3 linked regions of the Diceros bicornis minor genome follow. The protein of the gene in region 1 purifies or fractionates together with the protein of each later gene. This does not show direct contact. Links are inferred from orthologs where the notes say so. Each region holds a gene or a part of one and is shown in the gene's direction. Other genes may lie near its edges. The genes, in order: WDR82, SETD1B and CXXC1.

The links.
Region 2: the proteins of WDR82 (region 1) and SETD1B purify together in Homo sapiens (affinity purification with western blotting; 4 studies listed by BioGRID, with this or other methods). This does not show direct contact. The link is inferred for Diceros bicornis minor from reciprocal best matches to the Homo sapiens genes WDR82 and SETD1B.
Region 3: the proteins of WDR82 (region 1) and CXXC1 purify together in Homo sapiens (affinity purification with western blotting; 7 studies listed by BioGRID and IntAct, with this or other methods). This does not show direct contact. The link is inferred for Diceros bicornis minor from reciprocal best matches to the Homo sapiens genes WDR82 and CXXC1.

Annotation. Positions count from the first base shown.
Region 1 is NC_080741.1:52,931,878-52,941,896, reverse strand, and holds the start of WDR82 (WD repeat-containing protein 82), read left to right. Parts: upstream 1-5,995; 5' UTR 5,996-6,280; coding exon 6,281-6,441; intron 6,442-10,019. UniProt on the Homo sapiens protein: Regulatory component of the SET1/COMPASS complex implicated in the tethering of this complex to transcriptional start sites of active genes.
Region 2 is NC_080774.1:8,198,419-8,208,372, reverse strand, and holds the start of SETD1B (histone-lysine N-methyltransferase SETD1B), read left to right. Parts: upstream 1-5,721; 5' UTR 5,722-5,930; intron 5,931-6,162; exon of another isoform or gene 6,163-6,311; intron 6,312-6,415; 5' UTR 6,416-6,429; coding exon 6,430-6,603; intron 6,604-6,806; coding exon 6,807-6,905; intron 6,906-7,525; coding exon 7,526-7,796; intron 7,797-9,816; coding exon 9,817-9,929; intron 9,930-9,954. UniProt on the Homo sapiens protein: Histone methyltransferase that catalyzes methyl group transfer from S-adenosyl-L-methionine to the epsilon-amino group of 'Lys-4' of histone H3 (H3K4) via a non-processive mechanism.
Region 3 is NC_080755.1:42,776,716-42,787,303, reverse strand, and holds the start of CXXC1 (CXXC-type zinc finger protein 1), read left to right. Parts: upstream 1-6,138; 5' UTR 6,139-6,269; coding exon 6,270-6,272; intron 6,273-7,112; coding exon 7,113-7,231; intron 7,232-7,331; coding exon 7,332-7,432; intron 7,433-7,742; coding exon 7,743-7,978; intron 7,979-8,069; coding exon 8,070-8,246; intron 8,247-8,656; coding exon 8,657-8,683; intron 8,684-8,760; coding exon 8,761-9,006; intron 9,007-9,172; coding exon 9,173-9,280; intron 9,281-9,449; coding exon 9,450-9,634; intron 9,635-9,943; coding exon 9,944-10,151; intron 10,152-10,230; coding exon 10,231-10,341; intron 10,342-10,473; coding exon 10,474-10,523; intron 10,524-10,588. UniProt on the Homo sapiens protein: Transcriptional activator that exhibits a unique DNA binding specificity for CpG unmethylated motifs with a preference for CpGG.

The DNA of each region.
Region 1 (10,019 bases):
ATACCAGTCATACTGGAGTTAGAGCCCACTCTATTCCAGTATGACCTTATCTTAACTAACTACATCTGCAACAACTATTTCCAAATAAGGTCACATTCTGGGGGACTGGGGGTGATGATTTCAATATATCTTTTGGGGGGACACAATTCAATCCAGAGCAGACCCTTTCCATCTTTCTGCTCTGCCATTCTCAACCTGCTGGCTTGCCTTTGAGATGCTCTCTTCATGGTCAAACCTGGCTACAGCAGTCCCAGGCATCACATCTAGCACAACAGTGTTCCTCAGATGAAGAGGAATCATCTCTTCCTTGTATCTCTCTTTTTGTTTTTTTTTCGTGAGGAAGATCGGCCCTGAGCTAACATCCATGCCAATCGTATTTTTGCTGGGGTAGACTGGCCCTGGGCTAACATCTGTGCCTATCTTCCTCCACTTTATATGAGACGCCGCCACAGCATGGCCTGACAAGTGGTGCCTCGGTCGGTGCACGCCTGGGATCCAAACCCGGGCCGCCAGCAGCGGAGCATGCACACTTAACTGCTATGCCACAGGCCGGCCCCTGTTTTGTTTTTTTGTGTGTGTGTGAGCAAGATCAGCCCTGAGCTAACATCCATGCCAATCCTCTTTTTTTTTTTTTTGCTGAGGAAGACTGGCCCTGGGCGAACATCTGTGCCCATCCTCCTCTACTTTATATGGGACACCACCACAGCATGGTCTGACAAGCAGTGCATCTGTGCATGTCCAGGATCCAAACCTGCGCCACCAGCAGTGGAGCACACGCACTTAACCACTACGCCATGGGGCCGGCCCCACTTGTATCTCTTTTAGAAGCAAAGAAACTTTTCCAAGACCTCCTCCTCCAGCAGACTTCCTCTCATTTCTCATTACCAAAAATTTCATCACATATGCATGCCTAGTCCCATCACTGGGAAGGGGAACAAGACCACTCCTCATGATTGGCTTGGACTAGTAGTTCTCAAATTTGAACATGCATGAGGATCACCTGGAGGGCTTGTTAAACTACAGATTGCTGAGACCAGCCCCACGGCCTAGTGGTTAAGTTCAGGGCACTCCGCTTTGGCAGCCGGGTTTGGTTCCCAGGCACAGACCTGCACCACTTGTCAGCAGCCATGTTGTGGCACCAACCAACATACTAAATAGAGGAAGGTTGGCATGGATGTTAGCTCAGGGCGAATCGTCCTGAGCGAAAAAAGATAAGAAAAAAGTTTAAAAAAAAAAAAACAGTTAATATTTAAACAAAATGCAAATTGCTGGGCTCCACCCCTAGACCTTCGGGTTCAGCAGGTCTGGTGTGAGAATGAATTTTTGATGAGTTCCAAGGTGAAGCTGATGCTGTTGGTCCAGGGACCACACTATGAGAAGTTTAAACTAATCAGGATTTATCTCAGAGCACTGGGCTCAACTCTTGGCAAATACACTGCCACTCAGAGGAGGAAGGATACCTGAACAAAATCAGGATTCCATCAGAAAGGAGCAAGAGGAGAAAACTGTTGGGTAGGTAACCATTAATGTCTGCCACAGAGTGACCAAAGAACAGTTAGGAAGAGACAAGAAGGAGTGTGTCCAGAGAGGTGAGAGGAAAGTCAGAATGGAATGATGTCAAGGGAGCCATGGAGAAGCGATTTAGGAAGAGAGTGGTCAACGCTGTTAATGTCATAGATATGGCCAGGAAGATAAACACTGAAAAGTGACTACTGGATTGGGCAACTAGAAGATCTTTGTTGATCTTAGCAAGAGCAGTTTTATTTTGAAGATGACACATGGGAACAGTTCTATAGAATACAAAGTTATTTACATATCATTATCTGCTACTGATGCCAAATGCTAGAACTAATTCCTAGTGTTGAGACTGGTTTTCCTGGAATCCAGGTAAATAGGTGAGTGATAAGAGGAGGCAATGGAGTTTTGATTCACTGCTGAACAGTGAAATAAGTTTACTGAGACATAACTCAGTGTTCTGAGCTCAAATTTCAAACACAGCCACATCCAAAGTCCTAAATTACAGACATGAGGTCATGGTTATGGAGGAAAAGGTTTGCACATCCTTATCTATTTTCCAGTCCACACATCATTCTCCATGTATGTTCAGATATGTCTACTTACCCATCAATTCCCACCCACTCTTCTCTATTTATGCATGTTTATTGTCTAGCTTCACATATATATGTAGTTATCTACAGATAAATCTAGGTTCTGCCACTTGCTACTGGAATACCTCTCTTAGCCTCTATTTGCACATCTTTGAAATAGAGATAATAATTGCATCTCTCATAGAGTTGTTGTGAGGATTGAGATGATGTGTATAAGTAAAAATGTGTATATAATTGTTATTATGTGTATTCTGTTATGTGTATGATAACTGTTATTTTGGCTACACATGCTTCACTTTCTCCACGTGTAACATCACCAGCTAGTGATTGATTCCTAAGTGTCAGATGAGCAGTTTTTAAAGTATATTTATACTGTATGATTCCAACTGTATGACATTCTGGAAAAGGCAAAACTATGGAGACAGTAAAAAGATCAGTGGTTGACAGGAGTTGGGAGCTGGGGAAGGATGAATAGGCAGAGCACAGAGGATTTTTAGGGCTGTGAAAACACTCTTTATGATAACATAAGGATGGATACGTGCCATTACACATTTGTCTAAACCCATAGAATGTACAACACCAAGAGTGAATCCTAATGCAAGCTATGGACTTAGGGTGATTATGATGTGTCAATGCAGGTTCATCCATTGTAACAAATATACCACTCTGGCAGAAGATGTTGATAACGGAGGAGGCTATGCATTTGGGGACAGGGTTATATGGGAAATCTCTGTACCTTCCTCTTAACTGCTCTAAAAAAATTAAGTCTTTAAAAAAAGAGAGAGAAAAAAATGGGAAAAAAATAAATGGACCAATCAAATATCTGGAATCCTTTGACTAAATTCATTTATTCAATTAACAAAATATATTGAGGGCTGGCCCAGTGGGCTTATCGGTTAAGTGCGCACACTCCGCTACTGGCAGCCCAGGTTTGGATCCCGGGCGCGCACTGACGCACCACTTCTCCAGCCATGCTGAGGCCGTGTCCCACATACAGCAACTAGAAGGATGTGCAACTATGACATGCAACTATCTACTGGGGCTTTGGGGAAGAAAAAAAAGGAGGAGGATTGGCAATAGACGTTAGCTCAGAGCCGGTCTTCCTCAGCAAAAAGAGGAGGATTAGCACGGATGTTAGCGCAGGGCTGATCTCCCTCACACACACACAAAAACAATATATATTGAGGGAGACCCTGGCTGGGCTCTAGATACAACGGGAAGCAAAATTAACTTACAAACACATGGTGGAATAGTATGTAGCTATTCAAAATGATTGTGTAGTTCTGTATTTATTGACCTGGAAGATGTTCATAGTATTATATGAAAAGGATAGGTTATAAATAATATTATATTATGAACCCATTAAAAATATATTTCAGGGGAAAAAATCTGACAAGTTCTACATCAAAATGGTAAAATGTATGTTATGTATATTTTGCCATAATAAAAACAAATGTAACAGTAGCTACTTCTGGATGCTATGTTTGTTTTTTTATTGCTTATTTGTATTTTTTAGTTTTTCTGCAATAGATGTGTATTTACTTGTGTGAAAATTAAGTAAATAAAAGAAATCATGATTAAAAGGAAAGGAAAAATAAAAAATTAAGTCTGATGCTCCTTAAGGCAATCTGATTCACTTCTGACTACAGCTTACCCCTCCATTCACCTCCCACAGGAGCCACTCTTTCTGGTTTTTTTAAAGTCCAGCCTTTAAGGCACTGTTGGATCGGAAGCCAGGAGAGCCCCACTATAACAGAGCAGGGAGCCAGGCCAGAAATGTGTAACAGTGAGAATGTGAAACAGGCTGAGGCATTTCAGGTTGCTCTTAAAATATGAAAAAATGACTTTTTCCATTCCAAACATAATTCAGGAAGTCAAGTCTTCGGAGGAAGCTTCAGTCGGTCTTAGTGAAATCTGGGAAAGGTACAAGAAGTACAAAACTTGAAAGATACCCTGCAAAGATTTCTTTTGGCTGACAACGTTCAGTAGATTATGGCTATTTCTGTGGTTATTTTTGTAGGTTAAGAAGGACCAAAAAACGGTATCTCACTGAGTGTATTCACTTCCCAACAGTTTCAGGACATGGCCCCGATCTGTCCTTGTTGCCATTTCACTATTCAAAGCAGGCTCTACATCAGCCTTTCTAGCTTGTGAAATAAAGAAGCAGGAATTGCAGGGAAGTGAGTGCTCTGGGGCATGGAGGACTTTTCTTTCGTCACTTTGCAGTTTGGAAGGTTGCCATCCATTCGCATTTCACTCAGACAGGCTTTTTCCAGATCCCAGAACAAATTGTACCCAGAAGCTCTACTCTTTATCAGGAGGCAATTGAAGCCCTGACTTGGGCAGGATCTTGCCCTCTCCCCTCAGAGAACAACTTTTCTTTATGAGTAGGGATCCTGGCTCTTCTTTTACCCAGGGGATGGGACACAACCCTTAGTTCTTTCCAGAAAGACCCCCAACTGTCCCAGGGTTTGTTTTGTTTTTACCATTGTCCAGGTAATGTCTGGATCTTTGGATAGCACATCTTCCTAATATCAGCGATTGAAATATTTTACAGTCTTTCCTCTTTGTTTTGCTTCCTCTTTAGCCACTGCATTTTAGTGAAGAAAATAAATAGGCCTCTGTCTTCGTTGTTGGAGACTCCAAGCAATTAACCTTTTGAGGAGCTGTGCACAAGTTAGAGATCTATGAAGTCTCATAGGCTGCATGGAGTTTTAACCCCTTGCCCAGAAAGTTAAAGCCATGGAGCGTGGTACCTATTCTGTGATCAGATATTGCTTTCCTTTGTTAGGGATCAACTTTCTTCCTTTTAAGGTTAAGAATCCCTTATATGAAACTCTGAAACAATCCCATTGACTATGAGTACATAGTCACATTGACTATGACTGTTGTACATCTTGAATGTGGTGGTTGGTGCTTGCATGACTGTATATGGGTGTCAAAATTAATGAAACTATCCATTAAAAAGGCTGATGTTCACTGTACATAAATTATACCTCGATTAAGAACACCAACAACAATCCTGTTTAGTAACATGGAAAAATGTGTAAGACACAATACTAAAGCAGGAAAAAAAAATGGTTGCATCTATAAAGTTTATGTAGATATATGAATAAGGAGGAGGAAGTCGGGAGAATTTAAAACTTCTATTTTGTTGAATAATGAGATAATCTTCCCTTTTAAAAATTTCTTTGTAATGATCCTATGAGTTTTGGAGCTGAAAATATATTTTAAAACTTAAAGATAAGTATTTATAAAAATGTGTTGAGCTGTACACAAAATTAGTTCACCTTATGCACTTTACGTTATATATCAATTTAAAAGTTTTTAAAGAAGGCTTAAAGAAAAGTTCTGGGTGGTGGTCACAAGGATGTAGTATATCCAAATGAAAAAAAATTCATCCACTTAAAATTTGGGCAGCCTACCGTATATTATACCTCAATAAAAAAATACAGAAATTGAAACTCCATGCTGGCGCTGTGGTGCACGAGCGGCCAAAGCCCGCCAGTGATGGGATGACTGACTCCGCCCCAGAACAAGCCTCCAGGGGCGTAGGCGACCCCCGCAGTACCTGCTCTCGCGTGGCTCTCGGTTAGGGGGCCTGCAGGCGGCGCCCGAGTGTCTCAGGGGGTTGCGATCCCGCACACAGGCCCACGACTCCGGGGAACCAGCGGCCCTCGAGCTCAACTGGAAAGGTGGTGTGCATCCCCACCCCTCCCGCCCCACCCCACAGCGCGCTGGGGAATCGCTGCGCCGGACCACCCAGCCACTCCACTCCTCGCCGGCAGCGCTGACGCCACCAGCCCGCCTCCCCTCCTCGCGCCGCCGTTCCCGCCCCGCCCCCTTTCCCGGCGTGCGCCGCGGTGAGGCTTCTCGCCCTCAGCTTCTGCCTGTCGCCGCAAGATGGCGGACACAATGAGCCGGCGCCGCGCCGGTTGGCCCTGAAGCGAGTGTGGCGAGGAACTGTCGGCGAGGCCCCATAGTGCAGGCAGAAGAGCGTTGCACGAGCAGGAGCACGGAGAGGAGGGGGTGGCCTGACTGTCGGCTCCCCACCCGCTCGCCGCCGGCGCGGCGCCCGCCCCGCCCGGGTCGGCTCCTCGGCAGCCCGCCCGCTCGCCGCCGGGCCCCGCCCCGGCCCTGTGCCGCCGCCGCCGCCTCCAGCCGCCGCCGCCATGAAGCTGACCGACAGCGTGCTGCGGAGCTTCCGCGTCGCCAAAGTCTTCCGCGAGAACTCGGACAAGATTAACTGCTTCGACTTCAGCCCCAACGGCGAGACGGTCATCTCGAGCAGCGACGACGACTCCATCGTGCTCTATGACTGCCAGGAGGGCAAGTGAGTGCGGCGGCGGCCCCGGCCCGGGTCTGTGTCCCCTCCCTCTCGGGGCCCAGCGCCCGCCGCGGCCCGCCCTCCGCCCCGCTCCGGCCCCGGCCTGTTTTGCACTCGCTCCTGCCAGGGCCGCTTCCACTCCGAAGCTGTCCAGGAGACCTTTTCCTGTTCAAATAATGATAGTAATATTATTATTTTGTATGTCTTCGGTGTCCCCAGAGAAGGCTTCTGCATCGCCTGCCAAACCCCACCTTGACCTTGACCTTTAAACGCCGGGTCCGCCCATCCCGGCCTGGCAGGTAGCTCTCCGGCTCTGTCAGAGCTACCGTCGGCGCGGGCCCCGCACGGAGCCCCGGACTGCTCTCCCGCCTCGTTCGGCGTCAGCTCGCTCCCGCTGCCCACTCCTCCGTGACCTCGATTCCGCCTGGCACTCTGCCCGGCCCTGCCCCTCCGCTTCCCGCGGCCTTTCCGCCAGAAGGCCGCGCGGGTTGCACTTCTTAGCTGTCAGGATCCGTTTGTTGTGCCTCTTTGGGCCCCCATTCTTTTTCTTTCTGTTCCAAATCGTTCTCTGACTCCCTCAGACCCGATGCCCGCTTTTCTAGTTAACTTTTTTACAGCATCTGAAAAACTTTTCCTTTCTGCCAGACACAAACGAGCTTGGCCGCCCCATTCCGACCTGAATGTGAACCTCCCATTAGAACAAAGAAAGCATCGTATAACAATTTCGTGTTTCCTCTTACACTTTTAAAAAAAATTATACTTTATGACCCACTCGGATTTATCAAAATTCCGAGTCTGATCATGAAATTTCTATGTTGCTCCAAGTCTTCTGCAGACCCACTACACCTGCATCTCTGCAAAATCTTATAAGCACAGCATTTTGCCTTTTTCCCTCAGGACCTTGTCAGCTTCACCTCACCCTTGTAGACTTGTTTTCTCCAAGTCCTTGTTAAATTGCGAGCTCCTTTGGAGCAGCAACTGGTTTAGGCTAAATTTGATTTCTCCTCAGCCGCCTTCCACAAGCAGGCTTGGGATGTTTGGTTTAATTTGGTGGGTACTGGTTTTGTCAGACTTCATTTTGTTACTTAGTTCCAGATCTTATTTTTTGAATCCTTGAGTTTTTCTCTATCTTCTATAGCTGGTCCCTTTCCGTTTTTTTTTTTTTTTACCGACGTCTTCTATAAACTTTCTTTTGGAACTTGTCTCTTCATTTGTGAATTTGATTATCTAAAGTAATGCTGTTTTGGTCTGAGCTATAATACCCTACACAGTTTTTTCCCACTGGGGCTATGAAGAAGTATTATATAACTGGCTCTGTACCTGCCTGCAGTATGTGGAAGAGTGGCTGACCTATAGTGGTGGTTCTGGGGAAAGAGAGATGTTAGCTGGACGGATGCTGAGTTATTTGAATCAATATTATTCATTTAGTAGGTGGATGTCTGTCCAGGTCTGGCCACTTGAATCAGCTTGGAAGAGAGAGTAACGTGTAAAGCTGAGGTGGGGTTGGAGTTGTGGGGTCCTGGAGCTAGAAGTAATTCGAAGCTGGCTTGCTTGAAATATTTTTTGCTTGTGCACAGATTAGAACCTCTCCCTGGAACCTGAGGGTGGAGATGCATATCGTTATTCAAAGGAAATGAAGGTTATGATAGCATTCCCTCACAGCTTGTCTCCAAATGGGGCATAATTTTGACTTGTTGGGAGGGATGACAGTGACTTGAAGTCCTGTCTTGTTAAAAGTAAAATGTTAATTTTATGAAAAAATGCAGTTTATTTAGTCATGTAGCGTTTTTTACATAATTACAGACTTAAAGAAAAGTTACAACAATGTTTCAAAGAACTCTCATATGACCCAGTAATTGGTTACATTTTGCTCCCTTTGCTTTATCTTTCTCTGTGTAAATATTTATAGGTATGCATATTTTTTCCTGAATCGTTAGAGAATAAGTTGAAGGTATCGAGCCCGTTTATCCCTAAACACTTCAACATGGATTTCCTAAGCACAAGGACATTCTCTTAAGTAACCGGAGCAAAGTTATCCAAATTAGGAAATTTAATATTGATACAATAGTGTAGGACATGCTCTTTTAAATTTTCCCTTATCAATTAATTGTGACCTTTTTTCATGGTGATCTGTGGCAACAGTGGCCTGGTAATTAGGAGACCTGGGTTCTAGTTTGGCCTTGTGACCAGGTATATGACATTGATCAGATCACTTCCCTGGATATTAGAGGACCTCTTTAGCCTTTAGGAGCCCATGATTCTAAGTGGTAACATGAAGAAAAAATTTGCCACTAGTGTAGGTAAAACCAGCATTGGAAGACAAGTAATGTTCCCTGGAAGTCATAGTATCTTTTTAGATGGTACTAATGTTAGAATTTGGGAGTTTGAAAATGGCTAAAACAGGATTCTTGATGCTTAATATTTTCCAGTTAACTGTTCATTTAAACTTTCTTTATAATGGAGTTCATCCATTGAGTGATTTTTCGACTTGAAAGAATATAAAGGGTATTATCTGTGGTAGGTGATGCAAATTATTCAAAAAGAAGGCTTTAATATTATTTATTCATACCTGATCACCAGGATCATGGTTTGTGGAAAGCACCTTACCAAAATATTTGTGAAAAAATGTTGTGCATGAGCTTTGTAAAGATCCTCTGAAATGGATGCAATACATTTGGATCTTACTTTCAAACTTGGAAATGATAATGAGGTAAAAGAGTTCTATTATTAAAAACAAATTTCAGGTTAGTGTTATTGATAAATTTGAGACAAATAGGTCATATATAAGTGAAACTAAAAATTTTCTTTACACCACGCCCTTTAACCTTGTCTCTTCTGGCTCTGTCTTCACTATTTTCTTTTCTTTTATTTATTTATTTATTTTATAATTTTATTTATTGATTTTTCCCCCAAAGCCCCAGTAGATAGTTGTATGTCATAGTTGCACATCCTTCACATCCTTCTAGTTGCTGTATGTGGGACGTGGCCTCAGCATGGCTGGAGAAGCGGTGCGTTGGTGCGCGCCCGGATCCGAACCCTGGCCGGCCCTATTTTATTTTTTTTTATTATTTTTTTTATATATATTTTTTTCCCCCAAAGCCCCAGTAGATAGTTGTATGTCATAGCTGCACATCCTTCTAGTTGCTGTATGTGGGACGCGGCCTCAGCATGGCCGGACAAGCGGTGCGTCAGTGCGCGGCCGGGATCCGAACCCGGGTCGCCAGCAGCGGAGCGCGCACTTAACCGCTAAGCCACGGGGCCTGGCCCTGTCTTCACTATTTTAGACTGAAATACTAGGATAAGTAAGCTGCTCTTTCCACTGGTAGAAGCAAAGTCAATTATCTTTTGAGAGTGAGCACACGTACACGCTCTCAGACTCGCTCACTCACTCGCTGGTTACCACGTAGTAACCCGATGGCAGAACTCAGGATGGTGGACTCGACAAGGTAGCCTTTGAGCTGATCATTTTAGTTGATCTTTCAGTAAAGGTAAGAATGTAGAAAATTCAGTGCATTTGGAGTGAGAAGTTTTGTTTGGATAGGTTTTACGTAGGGAAACCCTTGACCTCACTGACATTAACAAAA
Region 2 (9,954 bases), on another chromosome or scaffold:
ACTAGTGTGAAGCCTGAATGTGAGGCCGGCCCCCTTAATCGCACTTAATCCTCCCTCCACCCTTTGCAGCATCCATCATTATCATTTCACTTGGGAGACTTGCCCAAGGTTCACCAGCACGGCGAGATTCAAGCCCACGGCCACCTGACTTAGAGCCTCCCTTGATTAAGCACCAAGACGCCTGGGTCAAGCTCTACAGGTTCCCCCAAACGTCAGTTTAGCCCTCACACTGAGGGGTGGGGTAATAGTGGGCAGGGCTGATCCCACACGGAAGCCAAGCTGCGGCCCAAATCAGGAGGGCCCTGTGGATCAGCAGCACCTGGACCCAAATGGTTCATCAAAGTAATCTCAAACTAGAGATCACATGGGGGAGGGGCCTGAGATCAAGGGCCATAGCGTCTCCAGCTGTGGAGCTTCCTGGAGACAAAAGAGGATGGAACTGTGCGCAGTCAGCTTGTGTTAGAAACGGGAGAGAGTTGCCGTCGTCACCAAGCTAACAACTCTGTGCCAAGCACTGAGCTGGGGGCTCCAAGTGCGTGAGCTTACATCTTCCTCGCGACACCCCAGATGTTACCAAGCCCAAAGGTTCTCAAAATGTGTTCCCAGGTGAGCTGATGCTGTTAGAAATACAAGTTCTCAGGCCCCACCGACTGAATCAGAAACTCGAGGAGCGGGCCCAAAATCAGTTCCAATTACCACCCTCCTCCTGCCCCCATGATTCGGATGCACACTCAAGTTCGGGACTCAGTGACGGAGCCCCATTTGTGCAGATGGGGAAAGAGAGACTGAGCAGCTTATGCAAAGTCACAGCAGGTGAATGGCTAGCCAGGTTTCAAACCCGGATTCGTCCGATTCTAGAAAGAGGGCTCTTTTGGGGTGGGGGCTGGGGAGGGAATCATGGGAATTCCCAGAAGGGGGAGACGAATCAAGAAACCTCCTCAGAGGAAGGTGACCCAGTTCTCAGGTCCTTCTGTTTACCTCCCTAGCAGCCTGACACTAGAGGCCGGCTCATACAGTCACCCTACACGTCCCCACTGGGGGCCGGAAGGGAGGGCCAGACTTCCTGGCAGCCGCCTGGGCCTTTCAGAAGTAAGAGGCTTTCAGAGCCCTCCCCCCACCAGCAAACACACAACTGGGAAATACTTGCAAGTGCAGCCTCTCCTATGCTGCTAAATACGGCCGAGAATTGCACGCCCCAAACTCCTGACAACAGAAGCTGACAGGCGGGGATGGATGGACCGAGCAGGCCCAGCAGGCAGCCGATTTCACACACACGGTCCCACACATCTGTGTGGGGGAGGGGCTGCCGAACCAGCCTAGCGGGTTTGGGGTGCCCGCCCTCCCTGGGCTCCAGGCCAACGCCCCCCAAATCTCCCTCGCAGCCTGGGAAAGGGCTCACACCTACCTTAGTGGGAGGATTGTCCGAGTCATACTAGGCCTGCTCCGGCTGTCCAAAGGAGGACTGTCCACTCTGGGGGCACCAGGTCGGTTGCCCCTTCTCCGGACAAGAGCCTAGGGGGAAAGTCGGAAGGTCTGTTAGGGAGTTGAGGAACACAAACCGGAGAGGATGTCTTTGAGGGAAGGGGAGCCTTACAAATGCCGTCCCCCCTTCCCAGCTCCCAAGGCGGCCCTCACTCTGGAAGGGATAGGAGGGGGGGTGGCTGAGTCACCAGGGTTCAACCCGGGCGACAAGCAGCAGGAGGCGACTCATCTGCATTTCCAAAGGCCCGCCCAGTCCGCATCCCCTCCCCCAGGAAGGGCCGGAGATGTGAGGGTTTACCCCAGAGCCCTCCGCCTCGGGGGATCCCGGGGAAGGCCCGCTCAGCCTTCCCAGGCCCCAACCCCCACCACAGCTCTAGAGCCTCGGGGTGGAGGGCGTGCCGCGGGCGGCCAAATCGGGGCGTCGGCGGCCTCCTTGAGGGCCTCACACCCAAAGTGGGGACAAAGGGGCTCTCCGCCCCTCGGGCTCGGCTATCCAAGGACGCCTGGGAGCCAGACATGGGCGCCCAGGCCCGGGTGGGCAGCGAGGACGGCCCGGGGGCAGGGCCGGGGCGCGGGGGAGGCTTCCGCGGCCTCCGGAGGAGCGGGTCGGGGTCAGGGGGCGGCCTCGAGGCCCTCCCCGGCCCCGTGGCCCTCTGCTACTGGCTCGCGCGCGGGAGGAGGAAGGGCCCCCGCCGCCCGGCTTGGGCGCGAGGCCTCGTGCCCGCGTGGGGCCCCGAGTCGGGCGCGGGGTCCGAGGCAGCGGCGGAGCCCGCGCCCGCCGTCGAGGCCTCGGGGCCAGGGGCGTCCTCGCAGGCGGCGGCCTCCCCTCCCCCCGGCCCGCCGCCTCCTCCCTCCTCCCGCCTGGCGCGCGGCGGCCGCCACCGCCCGAGCCGCGGGCGGCGCGCGAAATGGCGCCCGTCTGGCCGCCTCGCCGGGCGGAGGTGAGCGCGGGAGCTGCGGCGCGCGACGCCCCCGGGCCCGCGGCCCCCGACACGGCCTCCGCGACCACCCCCCGGCCCGGGGCGCTATGCGCTGCGGGCTCTCGGGGCCCGGCCCGGCCGAGGGGCCGCCACCTGCGCCGGGCTCTCAACGCCCACCGGGGAAAGAGGGAGGCAGGAAGAGAGCGGCCGCCATTAGCCACCGCAGCCTGGCCGGCCCGCCCGCCAGCCCCGGCCCGGCCCCGGCCGCGGCTCCGCTCTGAACCTGAAAATAAAACTCGAGTTGGGCAGGGAGGAGCGAGCGCGGCCGGGAGCACAGGCAGCGCGCGGGCTGCAGGCGCGAGAGATGCTGCGTCATGGTGCCAACATGGACGCCGGCCTTTGTCCTTTTTGCTTAGGAAGTGCAGGCGCGCCCCGGAGCCCCGGAAAGCCGGCTTCGGAGGGCGAGACCCCCCCCAATCAAAAGGGAACGAGGCCCTGGGCTGGGGGGGAGTGGGTTTCCCTGTCTTTTGAGCCCCTCCTTTGCAAAGCACTTTAATTTCTTCTCCACACCAAGGCTCAGACCTAGAAAAGCGAGGGGGACGAGCGCAGGCGACCCCGTGGACGCCCGAGGTCGCTGGGGAGGCCCTCCTCTCGCCTCCGGGGCAGAAGGGGCAAAAGGGTTTGAAGAGCCCACCTTGTCCCCCTACCCCTCCCCGATCCGGCTGCCAAACATAAAGCTCCAGAAACCTCCTTCTCTCCTCAGCTCCCAAACATTTGCAGCCCTTGGCCTGCTCGAAAAAAGATTTCCTCGAAGGGGCAAAAGGCATTTTTTTTTTTTTACTCACCCGCTCAGCCCGGTGCCATGGAGTCTGGAAGATCAAGCGGGGCGGAGGTTTTGAATATCTTTTGGGGGGATTGTTTAGTTGGGAATATTTGAGGGAATGGTGGTGTCTTTTTTTGTTGCTGTTACCTTTTTGTAAGTTACACTCTCATGGCATTTTCTGCTCCTTCCACTTCTGCAAACTTTCCAGGGTTGGGTTGGCAAAAGGCGGCTTCGCAGGACTGTTTACTGCTCTGGATATAGCAATGGTGTGACCGTCATTAAGAGACAAAAGGCGAAAATACACAGTCAAATCAAACAAAAGGCATAAGACGCACCGGCCATCCCAACCACCATAGAAAATACCCGCGTTAACGTTGGTGTTTGGCTCGAACCAGCTAGGACTTGTTTTCCAGTTTTAATCTAGTTTCCTGTGACGGCTTTAGTCTCTTTACACAAAGAGAAGGTCTTCCTTTCCCTCACCCACTCCCCTACCAAGACGACAAAAACAGAGCTGTTTTTCTTCAAATAGATCGATTTTCAAAGAAAGTGTACATGTTACTGGGAAGAAAGCTGACTAGCATTTATGGCTGTAAACATTTTCAAAAGCTTAAAGCTAAAAAACCTTAGCTTTATAAAAGCAAAATCGTCTAAAAGCATTTTAACTGGCTTATATTAGACAAGAGCGACAAAGACATACATGCAGATGAAGGTTCAGAAAATTAAGGACATCTCAGCAACATTAACATGAAAACTGCACTGCGTAAGGACAGAATGGATTGGGTACTTACAATGTAAAAGGTTTTTAGAAACTTAAAAGTAACAATTGCTTACAATTTTTTTGTTGCTGCCATTTCGCTAGTCCTAAAACTATACATTTAAAACATTACCTTGTTAAAAAGAGAGCAGAAGGAGTTAATAAGATGGCCAGGTTTAAGTGTTTAATAGAGGAAACTATATATATTTAAAAATTTATTGTTCAGTCAAGAGAATACAGATTAAGACAGCTCCAAGCTCCCCCCACCCACCCAAGAAAAAAAGAGGAAAAAAAATTAAATATGTCATTTACTTAGGTTTTTTGGAATTCAAAATTGTTAACTGCTGACATTAATGGTGTGCTATGACCTAGTTATACAAGACAAAGATGGATTCCAAGTCATAAGGAAAAATCCAGATCTTTTTAAAAAGTCTTCTTCATTCTTCCAATTGTGAGTCCTTTAGCCTGTTGACAAATGTTAAACAGAACACTGAGGCGTCCTGAACTGGATGGTGGAGTCAAAGGAAAAACATTCCCCATTTGCAACAAAGGAAAAACCCACTTGGCCATTTAATTCCATTGCAGAAAAATGGCTCCCCTCATCTGTTGGCCTCTCCTTGGTGTCTGATGAAGGATGTTTTGAGACCAGCGTCTAATAACTCAAGCCCTATAGAAGCCGCGCGCTGATTGGCTGCCGCGCCCTGCCGCCCTGCTCCAGCCAATTACCTACCCACGGCCAAATTACAAACCCCGAAAAGAGCCCCAATATGAAATACACCACCACGAAGCCCCGGCGAGGCGGCTCCTTCGCCTCGGCCGCCCGAGAGGAGAGGCAGAGGGGGCTGCAAATGCGTCCTCGCGAAGCCCGGGAGCCTCGGAGTTGAACTCACAAAATGGAAGCCGCGCGCTGATTGGCCGCCGCCACTCCCGGACCTTTAATAAAGAAAGGGGAAGGAAAAGATAAATGCAAAAAAGGGGGACTCTCTCCTCCGCTGGTGGCTGGAGGAAGAAGGAGGGGGGGGAGACAGAAGCATGTGTTCAAGACAATTACAGGGCGCTCCTCTCCAAAAATAAAAACAGAAAGAAGCTTCTATCACCCAGGTCCAGGCGAGGGCTGCATCCTCCCAGGAATGTGAATGCTAATTTGGTTAAAATCCTGGTTTCCCCTCCCCAGCTCAGCTCCAGGGGGGAGGGGGTCGCGGGGCAGAAGAGGAAGCCGGCGCTGAGATACCTCGATTGCAACTCGTCTTGAGTCGTCTTGCCTCTCCCCACGGCTCCCAGCGTCCAAAGACACAATCCCACACATATACACACCCCAAAACCCGGCCCTTCCCCCGGAGCCCCCGCGCGCCCACCTCCGGTCTCGGCAGTTTGGAAACAGTTTTGGAGGCCCGAGGTGCACGCCGCGGCGGCCGCGGCTCGGAGGGTAGCCCCAGCCGCGGGAGGTAGAGCCTGGGGAGACCCCCTCCCCCGCCAGCCAAGCCCCCCACCTAAGTCCCAGCAGAATAAATAAATTAAAAGGCCTTCCCCCGGGGAGGGGGGAGGCAGTGTGGGAGCGCGCGAGTGAGGGGTGGGGGGCCGCTGGGGCCCGGGGCTTTGGCGGCGCAGCTGCCGCCGCCGGGAGAGTGCCTGGGGAAGCGGCGAGGAAGGAGAGGGGAGGAGGAAGAGGAGGAGGAGGAGGAGGAAGAGGAGGAGGGTGAGCGCTCGGGTCGGGCTCCTTAGCGGTGTATTGTGGGATGTGCGGCTACTGGGAGCCGAGCCTCCGCCGCCAGCCGCCTCCCGGGCAGCAGCAGCAGCAGCAGCAGCGGCGGCGGCAGCAGCTCCGGGCCCGGCAGCCGCGGCGGCGGCGCCCCCCCGTCCCGGCCCCCCGTCCGGCCGCCCCGGCCTCGGCTCCCGCGGGGGACACCATGTACTGGCTGGCGGCGCAGGGAGGCCGGCGCCCGGCGGGGATGTAAGCGCGGCCCAGGGGGGAGAGGCCGCGGCCGGCAGCCGGGCAGCCCGAGCCCCCAGCCCCGGCCCCGGCCGAGCGCGCGGGCGGGCGGGCGGGCGGCGCCAGGCCTGCCGCGAGCCCCGCGCCCGAGCCGGGCCGAGCGAGCGAGCGAGCGCCACGCCGGGCGGCCGGGCGGCCGGGCGGGCACCATGGGCCGGAGCCCGCGTCCTCCGGGCGCCCCGGGCGCCGCCAGCCCGCACCGGGGGCCCCCGGGAGCCCCTCGCTGCCGCCCCGAGACGGTGGCCGAGCGGGCGGGCGCCTAATTCTCCCGGAAGGGTTATTCTCTCGCTCCATTCTTATTTTGGGGGGAGCCAGCGAGACAGCTCCTTTTGGGGCGCGCTGGTAAGGTGGGAGGGGGTGGGGGCTGGACGATTTGATTCTCTCGCGTGTGTGTAGAGCGGCCGCCGCCGCCGCGGCGGAGACGACAACAACTTGCTCGATTTCAGGTTGGGTTAACGGCATGGAGAACAGTCACCCCCCCCACCACCACCACCAGCAGCCCCCGCCGCAGCCCGGCCCTTCGGGCGAGAGGAGGAACCACCATTGGAGAAGTTACAAGTTGATGATTGACCCGGCTCTGAAGAAGGGGCATCATAAACTGTACCGCTACGATGGGCAGCATTTCAGCCTGGCGGTGAGTAGCCGGCGCGCCGCCCCGCCGCCCCCACCCACCCACCCGGCCCGGCCCGGGAGCGGGGTCCGAGCAGCCCGGGGCCCCCTCCCGACCGCCGGGCCAACTGTCAGCCGGAGTTTGACAAGTGCCTGGAGAAGGGGGGTCTGCCCCGGCCCCGGGAGCGGGACCAGCCCTCCCATTCCGCCCCCCGTTCCTCCCCGCAGATGTCCAGCAACCGCCCGGTGGACATCGTCGAAGATCCCCGGGTCGTCGGGATCTGGACCAAAAACAAGGAGCTGGAGCTGTCGGTGCCCAAATTCAAGGCAGGACCCCTCCCCCTGACCCGCGCTCGCCCCCCCCTCCCCGCGCCGCGAGTTCGAAAATAACGCCAGTCCTGGCCGAGCCCAGCCGGATTCTGAGTTCCCGCCGTCCGGGCCGGGAAGTTTTGGCGGGGCCGGGGGGGACGGCTGCGAGAGGGTGTCCCCTCTGGGCTGCTGTAAACACTCGGTGAAACTAAGCAGGGCGCTGATACAGTGTGCTGTCCGCCCAGCTGGGGGCTCCGGGTCCCCACCTGCCTCCTGCCAGCCCGGGGACTCAGCCCCGGGACCCGCCCCCCTTCCCAGCCTTGTGGCTTTAGGGGGACAGCTTCCTAGCCCCAGGGATCGCCCCTGACCCGGCAGCAGGGAGAGGAGGCCAGAATGGGGGGTGGGGAAAGAGAAACTGTTTCTTTTTCCCCTTTCCTTTCGAACCCAGAGGACTTCCACGTTCCAAACGATTTAATCCTCCGCTTCCCGGGCCCGCCCGCCTGCATTTTTTTTTTCCCCCAAAAATTTTTTTATTTTTTCCCCTTCATTGTTTTCAACGGGCAGGCGAGTGGGGAATGTCGTGTTTTCCCTTCGGTTTCAATGTTCTGCAAACTCCCTTCCCCCTCGTCCCCTGCCAGATCGATGAGTTCTATGTGGGCCCGGTGCCTCCGAAGCAGGTGACATTTGCCAAGCTGAATGATAACATCCGCGAAAACTTCCTGAGGGACATGTGCAAGAAGTATGGGGAGGTGGAGGAGGTGGAGATTTTGTACAACCCCAAGACCAAGAAGCACTTGGGCATTGCCAAGGTGGTCTTTGCCACGGTCAGGGGAGCCAAGGAGGCGGTTCAGCACCTGCACAGCACTTCCGTCATGGGCAATATCATCCACGTGGAGCTGGACACCAAAGGTGAGTTGGAGGCCGGCTGCGGACTGCCCACTGCCGAGGAGCCCCGGGACCTGTCCATGTGACCCTTTTCCCTCCCAAAGCCCCTCCTGCAGTGTTGGGGACCCCCTGACTCTTCCTTGGGGGCCCCCTACCAATTGTATTTTTCCCCCTCCTGAGGGTAGAGTCACGTGGAGCTAAATGTGTTGTCTGTTGCTAGGAGACAAGCTATAATTTACCAAATGTGCCAGTCCTTGGCCACTGCACCCCCAGGGACCACCCGGAGGCTTCCCCACTGCTGACACCCCCGTGGGCCCCTCTCCCAGCCCTGGTGGCCTGGGTTGAGACAGTCCCCAGTGTTGCTAACTGTGTTAGGGGAGGAGGCAGTGTTTGTTTATTTGTGGGGGGCTGAGGGAGAGCCACCAGGATGCCGTTAAATACATAAAGAGTAGGTCCCTGGACTAAAAAGAGAGTCCTCTAAGGATCCAGGGTCCCTTTCCCCTTGGAAGTGGGAACCAATCTGGGCCCAGAGTGTGGTTTCATTGATCATGTTCCATAGAGTGGGGAGGGCTGCTCTGGGTGCTCAAGGGTTGACACTGTGTCTTCCCTCCTCTCTCTTAAAGAGACAGCACCACCTCCCATGCACCGGAATCTCACTCTGTACTCACTCTGAGTGGCTGCCGGGAGAATCGGGGAGAGCTGGGCTGGGGAGGCCATACCTCCCACCCTCAGGGTCCTGGGAGGCTCCTCCTGGACGCTGGCTGGAGGGGCTTGAAGAACTCTAGGGCATCCCCCAAAGTTTGCCTGTGGCTTCTCTAGGGAAGTTCCCACTGATAGAGAAGAAGGTGCCAGGTGCTCTGAGGACCAGCCAGCCCTGTGACTGGGCAGACACTGTTGGGTCCAAAGCTCCTGGGGGTCCCCTGGGAGGGCTTAGGTGGGTGGCTTCCAGGGGTTTTGTGAGCATGGGGTTTAGGGGCACCCAGGGCACACCAAACCCCAGACAGGAAAATCTAAACCTTTCTTTTTTTGTCTTTAATAATGAGTACATGTTGACTGAGTCTCTTAAGACCTTTCTGGGGGTTGTGGAAGGAAGCTGGTCCTGGGCTGGCAAGGTTATCCCACAAACTCTTGCCAAGCCCGTCGCTAATTCTGAGTCTCCTTCAGGGTACAATCCAGGTTCCTGCCCAAGCCACAGCCCCCTGACCCCCCTTCTCTAGCTTCTCAATCTCTGTTGGGGGGAGTATGGACCCTTTCAAATCTACATATCCCTTGGGTGGCTGCTGTCAGCTCTCACCAAAATTTCATTTCTGCAAAAAAAACAGGGGAGCCCTCAGAGGCTGCCAACTAAGTTTGTATTTCAAGAAAGAGACCGGTAAAGTGTAAAGAGTAGCTCAAGGAATGCGTCTCCTTTGCATATGTAAGCAGCTGCCTCAGAGGGCTCTATAAATATCGATAATCTGGGGCCCCCTGGTCTGCAGAGGCCTCTCTCTGCTGGGGGGAGGAGGGCTACCAGACAGGGCTCCGTGGGACCGGCAGAGCCGGGGATCCTGGTCAGAGGAGGAGGCACATGGAGTTCACAGGAACGTGGTGCTAGAGAGTGTTTTACAAACTCTGCTGGTCCCCTGGCTCTGGAGAGTTAACAACAAGCTGTCACCTCTGTGTCACCAGTCTCCTCTCCACTTGCTACAGGGCCCTGGCTATTAAGTGGGAAGGCGAGGGGACAGGGAAGACCTGACTCTTTTTTTGGGTGCCACGGCCCAGGTGACAGGAAGGGGCTTTGTGTTGGAGGTGGCCTTTCTGTATTTGGGGGAGTCCCAGCCCCACGAGGCATTAAATTCTGAATCTCGGGATCAGACAAATCATATAGTCGAGCAGCTTTGTTGAACAGATGAGACTCCTGAGTAAGGTGCAAAGAGATGGGGAGCTGGTCAGGGTCACACAGTTTCCCCAGGCTTGGGGTCTCAGGGACCCACAGGGATGCCAACCTGTGGGGGCCGCCCCGTTCTGGAGCCTCACCGAGTCCTCCCTCCTTCCCTTTCCACAGGGGAAACCCGCATGCGGTTCTACGAACTGCTGGTCACGGGCCGATACACACCCCAGACCCTCCCGGTGGGCGAGCTGGACGCTGTCTCTCCCATTGTGAATGAGACCTTGCAGGTGGGTTTATGGCTGTCAGTCCTTC
Region 3 (10,588 bases), on another chromosome or scaffold:
GCTATGAGGCTATTATTACCCTGATACCAAAACTAGACAAAGATATCACAAGAAAATAAAGCTACAGACCAAGATTCCTTATGAATATAAAAACCAATATTCTCAATACATTGCTAGCAAATCAAATCCAACAACATATAAAAAAGATTATACGCAATGACCAAGTGGGATTTATCCCAGGAATGCAAGTATGGTTTAACATACAAAAATCAATCTTTGTAAATATTGATAGAATAAAGGATATTTATAGAATATTTATAGAATAAAGGACAAAACCCATGTGATCTCAAATGACACAGAAAAGCATTTGACAAAATCCTACAGCCTTTCATGATAAAAAGAAAATTACTCAACACACTAAGAATAGAAGGGAGATTCCTGAACCTGATAAAGAGCATCAACAGAAACCAACAGCTAACAACATATTTAATAGTAAAAGATTGAATATTTTCCCTCAAGATCAGGAACAAGACAAAGATATCTACTTTCTGTTTCTAGAGATTTGCCTATTCTGGACATGTCATATAAATGGAATCATATAATATATGGCCTTTTCTGTCTGCTTCTTTTGTTTAGCATAATGTTTTCAATTCATGCATGTTTAGCATGTATGAGTACTTCGTTATTTTTACGGTGGAATAACATTACATTGTATGGATATAACACATTTTGTTCTTCCGTTTGTCAGTCGATGGACATTTGGATTGTTTCCACTTTTTTGGTTATTTGCTGCTATAAACACTGATGTACAAGTTTTTGTGGGGACGTATGTTTTTAATTTATCTTGGGTATATGTCTAGGAGTGGAATTGCCGGGTCAAATGGCAACTTTACTGCCAAACTCGTTTCCAAAGCAGCTGCACCACTTTATACTCCCACCAATGCATGAGGATTCCAATTAGTTCCAAGAGCCAAAATGGTATGGCCAGAGTTGGCTGACTAGACCTGAATAACACTGTAACCTGAGAAAATGTCAAGAGCGGTGAATTACTATAGGTTTCCCCAAAAGTGGAGTCAAGAGTTCTATGTAGTCAATCTGTCAGGATCAGGTGGGGCCAATGTTCCATGTAATGTGGTCTCCTTCACTGTAGACACACGGAAACTTTTGTCAAGAATCACAAACCTGTCGTGCAGTTGTGGCTCCTGCATCAAAAACACAGAGTTCTTTACCTTGTGCCCAGTTCCTGATGGTGGATGCACTGCAGTCTCTGGTGGTGATCTGAGCAGTGCCATCTTGATTGGCAGCTTGATTCCAGTCGATCTCATCAGAGAATATTCCCTTACCATGGGCGTCTACATGAGTGACCAGATGGTCTGATCAACAGCAGGTAGTTCACAGCCCCAAAGAAGAGTGTCTTACTCTGTCAGTCTGTACTCTTAAATGGGAGACCAAATAGCCTAAGAGTCAGTAAAAAAAACAACAGGTTCATGAAGTGGAGTGTTGGCTGGGGCTATGAAAATGGCTTTTGAATTCTTCCCACGGAGCACAGAGACTACACCTGCTTTTGATTCTGGGTAGCTGACAGTGAGATTTAACAGTGGTAGCAGAGTAGCTGCCACCCTTCCATCTAAAGCCAAGATGACCAGAGGGTTAGGTCAACTGCACTCAACAAGCCCTGTCTAGTGAGCCACATCCTATCTGGGAAAGAGATAGCAGTCTTTTCTTCACTCCAGAGAGAGTGAGCAGTGTGAGCACATAAATCCAAAAAACTTAGCATTAGGCCCCTAAATTTGGGGTGGGGGGGCGGTTATCAGCCTCCTGTGGGCAGAGGTATGATAATGCCTTGGGTCACTGACACTAAGGCTTTGACTTGCCAACCAACAGGTTATTATCTATTTAGTGAAAGCTTTGGAATCAGGATAGAAGCACTCGCACTAAATCCTGACCCACCCACTGGTGGCAAGGGCAGGGGAATTTGTCCCATAACACTTTCTACCTGTAGCTCTGTCCTAAAGGGGAGAATCTCCCCTGGAAGTTTATGAGCATTTATAGTACAAGCATATAACACATCAATTTCATTACACATTTGGCAGAGGAAGTTATAACAACAGTAGATTAATTGGCCAGAGGCCTCACCCATATGGTCTCTTTAATGGTCTCTTTTTTTCCTTTTCACTGTGAGTTTTGCCGGAACTCTATCAGGAAATCATGTTACCTTATGGCTGGGAACTTCAGGAGTGCTGGAGGGCAGTGGAGGCCAGGCAGCAGAGGTTGGCCAGCACAGCTGAGGAGCCTTTTTCATCCTTTGGCTCCTTGCCCACAGGATGTCTTTTCCTCCCCTGTGCTTGTCTTCCTTGGTTTGGGAGGAGTCCAGGGCATTCTACCAAGGCTCAGTTAGAAGGCAATAAAGCTTTGCCTACTTGGCCTTTGTGGAGATATATAAGGTCATCAGGGTTCCATGGTATAACTAGTCCCCTGCAATATTGCAAATATTAAACCAATTTTGCATTCTTGGGATCGTTATTCTTGGTATAAATACACTTGCTCATGGTGTATTATCCTTTTTATAAATTGCTGGATTCAATTTGCTAATATTTTGTTATGACTTTTGCATCTGTGTAGTAAAGAATTTAACCCTGTCCAAAGAGAGACCTGGCCTTTGCCCTCCTCGGCTTCTGGCTTCTGGGAGGTAATCTCTAAACCCTTTAATGTCACACCCGACAGGAGTATCTTTGTTTGCCTGGAGGTCTCTTGGTCACTGGATAGTCTAATAAGGTGATTTAAGGTGAGGGATTTGGGTCACATGGTATCAACTCAACCTCCTGAGGGCCTAGAAACTGAGTTCTGGCACACAGGCAGTCAATGGTGCCTATGTAATGGAACACCAATAAAGACTCTAGACATCAAGGCTCAGGTGAGCTTCCCCGGTTGACAATTCTCCATGCATATTGTCACATATCATCACTGGGAGCAGCTAACTCTGTCCATGAATCCTCTGGGAGAGGATAACTGGAAGCTCTGAATTTAGAACCCTCCTGGACTCTGTCTTACTGCTGATTTTAATCTGTATCCTCTCCCTGTGATAACTGTGAGTATAACAGCTTTCAGTGAGTCCTTCTAGCAAGTTAGTTGGGGACCCCCAAACTGGCAATTGGTGTCAGAAGTAGGTATGATCTCCTTACTCTTAAACTTAAACTTAAACCCTTAAATTCTGCAGTGGCCTCAGAAGTAAAGATGGTCTCTTGGAAACTGTTCCTCAAACTTTGCAGGATCTATGCTCATGGGGTATATTGGTCTGTCATTTTCTTTTCTTGTAATGTCTTTGTCTGTTTTGGTATCAGGGAAATGATTCCCAAAATGAATTGGGAAGTATTCCTTCCTCCTCTATTTCCTCAAAGACTTTGCATAGGATTGCTCTTTTTTCCTCCTTAAATATTTGAATTTACTATCAAAACTATTTGGGGGCCGGCCCCCTGGCTTAGGGGTTAAGTGCGCGTGCTCCGATGCTGGTGGCCCGTGTTCGGATCCCAGGCACGCACCGACACACCGCTTGTCCGGCCATGCTGAGGCTGTGTTCCACATACAGCAACTAGAAGGATGTGCAGCTATGACATACAACTATCTACTAGGGCTTTGGGGGAAAAAAATAAAATAAATAAAATTAAAAAAAAAACTATTTGGGCTTCGAGTTTTCTTTGTGGGAAGGTTTTTAATTAGAAATTGAAATAATTTCATAGTGATATGGCTAGTCAAATTTTCCATTTCTTCATGTGTTAGTTTTGGTAAGCTGCCTTTTTCAAGGAATTTGTCTATTTTATCTAAGTAGTCAAATAAATTGTATTAGGTTAGTATAAATGTGTGAATAATAGTCTCTTTTTAATATCTGTAAGATCTGTACTGATGGCTCTTTTTTCACTCATGATGTGGGTAATTTATGTTTTCTCATTGTTTTTTCCTAATTAAATAAATCATATTTAATTTAATAAATTATATTTCAAAATATAGTAATTGAATATAAATTTAGTTAAATCAATTTAATTAATTACATGACTATAAAATTTAGTTTAGTGAATTTGAATTAAAATTTAAATGTGGCAAATTAAATTGAATGAATTAAACTAAATCATATTAAATAAAATGTAATATAATAAATTAAAATTAAAAGATACACAATGACATCAGGGTTGAATAAATTAAATATTAAATTATTTAAACCAAATTACATTTAATAAGTCAAAATTCAATTATGTTAAATTAAATTTGAGTAATTAAATTTAAGTTAAACTTGAGCTATATTCCCTCAAACTTATTTTCATACACTCAATGTTAATTAAATTAAAATTGAATTATATAAAATTCATTAATTGATGTGAAAATAAATTTATCTAAGTACCTTACTAACACATAAAAATTTGATTATACTAGAGTTAATTTAACACATTAAATGAAAAACTAAATTTAAAGAATTAAATTATGTTAATTAAAATAAATTACAATCAAATTAAGATTAATTCGAAATTAATTGATAAATAAAAATGAGAAGTCATGCTGGATCTGAAGGTCTCTGTTTTCTGGATTAAAAACCCCTTTTAAGAGGAGAAGATCACAGAACCTTTGTTGCTGCCCATGTGTCTTGACGTCTGTGATGGTGTGGAAGGGATGGGAAAGAAAAATGTTTAGGAAAGGTGAGGAAAAAAAATCGGACCTCCTAAGCCACGAGCAGCAAAATCATCAGTAACAAATAAGTTGCTACAGTGTCCAGAACCAAGAAATCTAGAAAAACTGTTAGCCACGGGTGAAACATCTCATTCTCCCCAGAATCCTCTCCTCAACCCAAAATAAATACAGTCGTTCTCACTTTGAACATGGACATGTGGACATTTACTATGACCATGATTCCCATATCTAGGAAATAAGTGTTGCATATAAAATAAGTGCACATAAAATAACGCTAACATGTATCTCATTTGACCTCCATGGTCGCCCAGGTTAGATCATTATCCTGCAGAGATATCTAGCTCTCTGACCTGTACAGACTTTTTTTTTTTTGCTGAGGAAGATTCCCCCTTAGCTAACATCAGCTGCAAATCTTCCTCCTTTTTTTTTTTTGTATGTGAGCAGCAGCCCCAGCATGGCACTGACAGACAAATGGTGTATGTCCTGGCCTGAGAACTGAACCCTGGCCACTGATGGGGAGCATGTGGAACTTAACCACTAAGCCACCCAGGCTCTCCCCTCCCCGACTTTTTTTATTGTACACAATTTAAGTTCTTTAAAATAATTTTAAATTAACTTTATTGGAGAGAATATTGAATACTGAATTTGTATGAAACAAGAGAACCAAACTGGACATCACCAGGAACAAGACAAATCTACACTCTGCTGGTGGCAGGATCAGGGGAGAGGTTGGTGAAGACGATTGTCCCTGATTTCAAAATCTACTTTGTTCTGGCCACTTCTCTCACCAGAGGTGATCAGGCCACGATCGCGTCTGGCCTTCTTTCGTCGCTCGGGACTAATTCTGAGGGATGAGAGTGTTCCTGCAAAGGCCCAGAGGCTGAACCGTGCTAGGCCTGGCTGAGCAACTGCAAGGAGAGTGGGAAAGAGTGGCGGGAGGTGGTGTCGGAGATCTAACAGGTGGACTGGTTTCCTTCGCAGCGCAAGGCACACAGTCTTCTGGCGCCCCATTAATACATGTGGAAGGGAAAAGTGATTGAATAGCGGAATGAATACGACTTGATCGAGATAGTATTTCGGGATCGGTCGCTTTCCCTGTGAACTGGGCAGTGCAAGCTGCCGGCGTACGGAATCAACCACCAAGATGGCGGGGCCCTCGAGGAAGCCACGATTAGGACGCTGCCATGTATTGCCTCTGACCGTACAGACTAGGCCATTTTACGGAACCAGATTCCAAGATGGCGGCGTCCTCGTAGAATTCGCGTTGGCGCGGCCATATTGCCTGTAACGTCCGGGCCGTAAAGCAGTCACCGTACGGACTCTACCGACAAGGTGGCGGCGCCCTTGGGAAAGCAGCGTTATAGGCGCGGCCATGTTTCCTGCGAATGTATGGACTCGGATGCCATACAGTATCAGTAGTCAAGATGGCGGCGCCTGAGGGACAGGCGGGGCTCTAGGAGGGGGACCTACTTGTTTGTCGTTGAAGCCGACGCACCGGGCCTGCGCAATAGGAGTACGGTGCCCGGGAGGCGCGACCAGAGGCGGAAGTAGCTGTGGGCGCCTTTGCAACGGCTGCGGACGCTGCCCAGTAGTCTGTGTGGGTTCGCGGGTCGCTGGCGGGGGTCGCGAGGCGGTGCCCCGGGAGCTGAGAGATGGTGAGTACGGGTCCGGGGAGGGGGTCGGCAGTAGAGGTCAGTCGGGTTGGTAATGGTGGGGTCCGTCGGCAGACTCACGGGGGTCTGTGGGGAACCGTAACAGGAGTCTGTGGGCAGAATGGTGCGGCCTGTGGTGAGCCTCAGCAGGGGTCTGTGGGTAGTATGATGGGGGACTGATGGCCTGATTTTTTTTCTGCTGTGTGAGTTTTGTGGGAGTCTGGGAGTTCTGTGATGAGCCATGTGGGGATCCGGAATGGAAGTTTAGTGGGGATCCCTGATTGTAGTTCCGGGGGGCCCCAGATGGGGCTTCTTTAGGCAAAGTGATAAGGGGTTTGCGACGAGCCGTATTGGGCACTCAGTAGTGAGCCATGATGAGTGTATTAGGGGATCCGTAGGGAACCGGGATGGGGGCAGGGTTGTCAGTGGGGTTAATAACGGGAGATCTGTGGAGAGCTGTGTTGGGAAGTGAGTAAATCACGTTGGTGTCTGACAACCTGTGGTGGGGTCTGTGAGGAGCCATTTTGGGGGCAATATGTGGTGAGTGGTAGAGTGTAATGAGCCCTTATGAGTGTGTGGATAGAGTGATGGGGTGTTAGCCGGCTAAGTAATGGGAGATCTGGGGCAGAGTGATGGCGTTTATTAGCAGAGTAACGGGGTGTCAGGGGTGAGTGGTGGGGGAGGTCTGTGGAGACCGTGATGGAGAGGTTTGTGAGGAGCTATGATAGGAGGTCTGTTGGCAGAGTGTTGGGGTCTGTGGTGCGCCATGGCGGAGCTGTAATGGAGGAATGAGACACTATGATGGGCGTTCTCTAAGGAGCCATAATGGGGGACTTCCCACAGGAGGGGGATGGTTCAGACCCAGAGCCTCCAGATGCTGGGGAGGACAGCAAGTCGGAGAATGGGGAGAATGCGCCCATCTACTGCATCTGCCGCAAACCGGACATCAACTGCTTCATGATGTGAGCCGGGGAGAGGTGGGCGGGGCTGACACCTGTCAAGGTTGGGCAAGGCCATAGGTCCGGCCCCTCATATCTCCACCACTCGCCCCATCCTCTGCAGCGGGTGTGACAACTGCAATGAGTGGTTCCATGGGGACTGCATCCGGATCACTGAGAAGATGGCCAAGGCCATCCGCGAGTGGTACTGTCGGGAGTGCCGAGGTGAGGGGGGTGGAAAGGACAGGGCAGGCAAGTGGGACTTCCAGGGAGAAGGAGGAGCCATAATGGGAGGGTGGGTCGTGGGGAGTAGTGATATATGTTCTTGGGCAGAGTGAGTGTTGGTCTGTTGTGAGCTAAAGTGAAGGCTCCATTGTGAGCCATAATGGAGGGTCCCACCAGAGGGGGCAGTTCTGCCCTGGACTAGGGGGACAGAGCAGGTGGGTGGGACAGAAAAGGAGAGAAGAGGAAGAAGAGTTCTGGGACCATCGAAATCCTCCAATGTCACCCCCCGGCTCCCCGCTCTGCTCCATAGAGAAAGACCCCAAGCTGGAGATCCGCTATCGGCACAAGAAGTCACGCGAGCGGGACAGCAATGAGCGAGACGGCAGTGAGCCCCGGGATGAGGGTGGAGGGCGCAAGAGGCCTGCCCCGGATCCGGACCTGCAGCGCCGGGCGGGGTCAGGGACAGGGGTTGGGGCCATGCTTGCTCGGGGCTCTGCTTCGCCCCACAAATCATCTCCACAGCCCTTGGTGGCCACACCCAGCCAGGTGAGTGGCTGCAGTGGCTGGGATAGATAAGGTGATCCCACCTCAGGTCCTACTTGAGTTCCTGATTTCTGTTCTGGGTCCCTCCCCCCAGCATCACCAGCAGCAACAGCAAATCAAACGGTCAGCCCGCATGTGTGGTGAGTGCGAGGCCTGCCGGCGCACTGAGGACTGTGGCCACTGCGACTTCTGCCGGGACATGAAGAAATTTGGGGGCCCCAACAAGATCCGGCAGAAGTGCCGGCTGCGTCAGTGCCAGCTACGGGCCCGGGTGAGCCTGGGTGGAGTTGGGCAGGGTCAGGTGGGGTGGAGGGGGCCAGTGTGTCCAGGAAGAGCTAAAATGGGTGGGCCGGGTGGGGTGGGGCCTAATTGCATACAGACAGGTGGGAAGGAGCCTGGCCTGTCCAGATGAATGGGGCCTGACCAGGTGTGCTGGGCCAGCAGGGGAGCCCCCCAAACCCAGGTGGGCAAGATAGGGCCAGATGTTTCTAGGTGATCAGACATGTCAGGGCAGGGAGGGCAGGGCTGAGCATGTCCTGGTGATGAGGGGAGAAGGGGCAGGTGTGTCTGGGGAAGCAAGGCAGGGCTAGTTGGTGGGGCCAAGCACTTGTGGGAGGGGCTAGGGCAGGGCCACCCTCCATCTACCTGGGGCTGACCTGGGCCTTCCTCCTGCCGGCACAGGAATCGTACAAGTACTTCCCTTCTTCGGTGAGTCCAGCCTCCCAGAGCGGGGCAGGGCATGTGGGCAGGGCAGTCAGGGCCAGTCCTGAGATTCTGCCCTGCAGCTCTCGCCAGTGACACCCTCAGAGTCCCTGCCAAGGCCTCGTCGGCCACTGCCCACACAGCAGCAGCCACAGCCATCACAGAAACCAGGGCGCATCCGTGAGGATGAGGGGGCAGTGGCATCAGCAGCAGTCAAGGAGCCACCTGAGGCTACGGCCACGCCTGAGCCACTCTCAGATGAAGACCTACCACTGGACCCTGACCTATACCAGGACTTCTGTGCAGGGGCCTTTGATGACCATGGCCTGGTGAGCAGGCAGGGTCCCGTGGTGGAAGGGTAGAGGTTACAGAAGTAGAGAGTATCCATAATGAGAAGAGAGAAGGCAGAGGATGTGGAAGGCTGATTTGGGAACTAAATAGTTGGTGGGGTAGTCATGGGTGGTACAGATGGGCCAGTGTCTGCCTCACCTGCAGCCCTGGATGAGCGACACAGAGGAGTCCCCATTCCTGGATCCCGCACTGCGGAAGAGGGCAGTGAAAGTGAAGCATGTGAAGCGTCGGGAGAAGAAGTCTGAGAAGAAGGTGATGGAGAGGGTGAAATGGGTGTGGGAAGGCAGAGGGTAGGGTGGGGAGGGAGAGGCAAAGGCTAGGGGCCGCATGGGGCAAGAGCCAGGAAGGGGTGGAATGCAGGGGGAGATGGGTCTGGGGCAGACTTCAACTCCACCCTGACCTGAACTGCCTTGTCCCATAGAAAGAGGAGAGATACAAGCGGCATCGGCAAAAGCAGAAGCACAAGGACAAATGGAAACACCCGGAGCGTGCTGATGCCAAGGACCCTGCATCGCTACCGCAGTGCCTGGGGCCTGGCTGTGTGCGCCCTGCCCAGCCTGGCTCCAAGTATTGTTCAGACGACTGTGGCATGAAGCTGGCAGCCAAGTGAGTCATTCCTGGGGGGTTCAAGGGACACAGGGAGTACGGGGTAGGGCATGACCAGAGCCTTCTGTATGTCTGCCAGTCACCTGTCCCATTTAGTCAACTAGGCACCCACTTATCCATTCACTCACTCATCCATCTATCTGTTCACCCTTCCATCCACCATTCAGCTCATCCATCTACCACTCAGTCAGCTATCTACTTATCCTTTCACCATTTAGTCACCTATCCATTCTGCCATCCTTGGGTTATCCCACTTACTCATCTTGTTGTTTGCCACCTGCCCACACCCAACCCACTGCCTCCCTGCAGCCGCATCTACGAGATCCTCCCCCAGCGCATCCAGCAGTGGCAGCAGAGCCCCTGCATTGCTGAGGAGCACGGCAAGAAGCTGCTTGAACGTATTCGCCGTGAGCAGCAGAGTGCCCGAACCCGCCTTCAGGAAATGGAGCGCCGATTCCATGAGCTTGAGGCCATCATTCTGCGTGCCAAGCAGCAGGCTGTGCGCGAGGACGAGGAGGTAAGCAAGCACAGGCACAGCAGTGCAGGGCCCAGCACCTGGTCCTGCCCATCCTCATTGTTCCTTCTACCCCATGCAGAGCAATGAGGGTGACAGTGATGACACGGACCTGCAGATCTTTTGCGTCTCCTGTGGGCATCCCATCAACCCACGTGTTGCCTTGCGCCACATGGAGCGCTGCTATGCCAAGGTCAGGTGTTAGCCTGAGGGGTAGGGGACCCTCAGTGGGCCCATGGGCGGTCAGATGTGTCTTCTGGGTCTTGTCTTGGGAGGGCATGCAGCACACATCCACAGTTCCCTCCACTTGTGCTCATCCCTCCAGTATGAGAGCCAGACGTCCTTTGGGTCCATGTACCCCACACGCATTGAGGGGTGAGTGTGGGCGCCACGTGGAATTAGAGGAGGGAGGTTAAGGCTGGGTTCAGGAGTGGAATGGT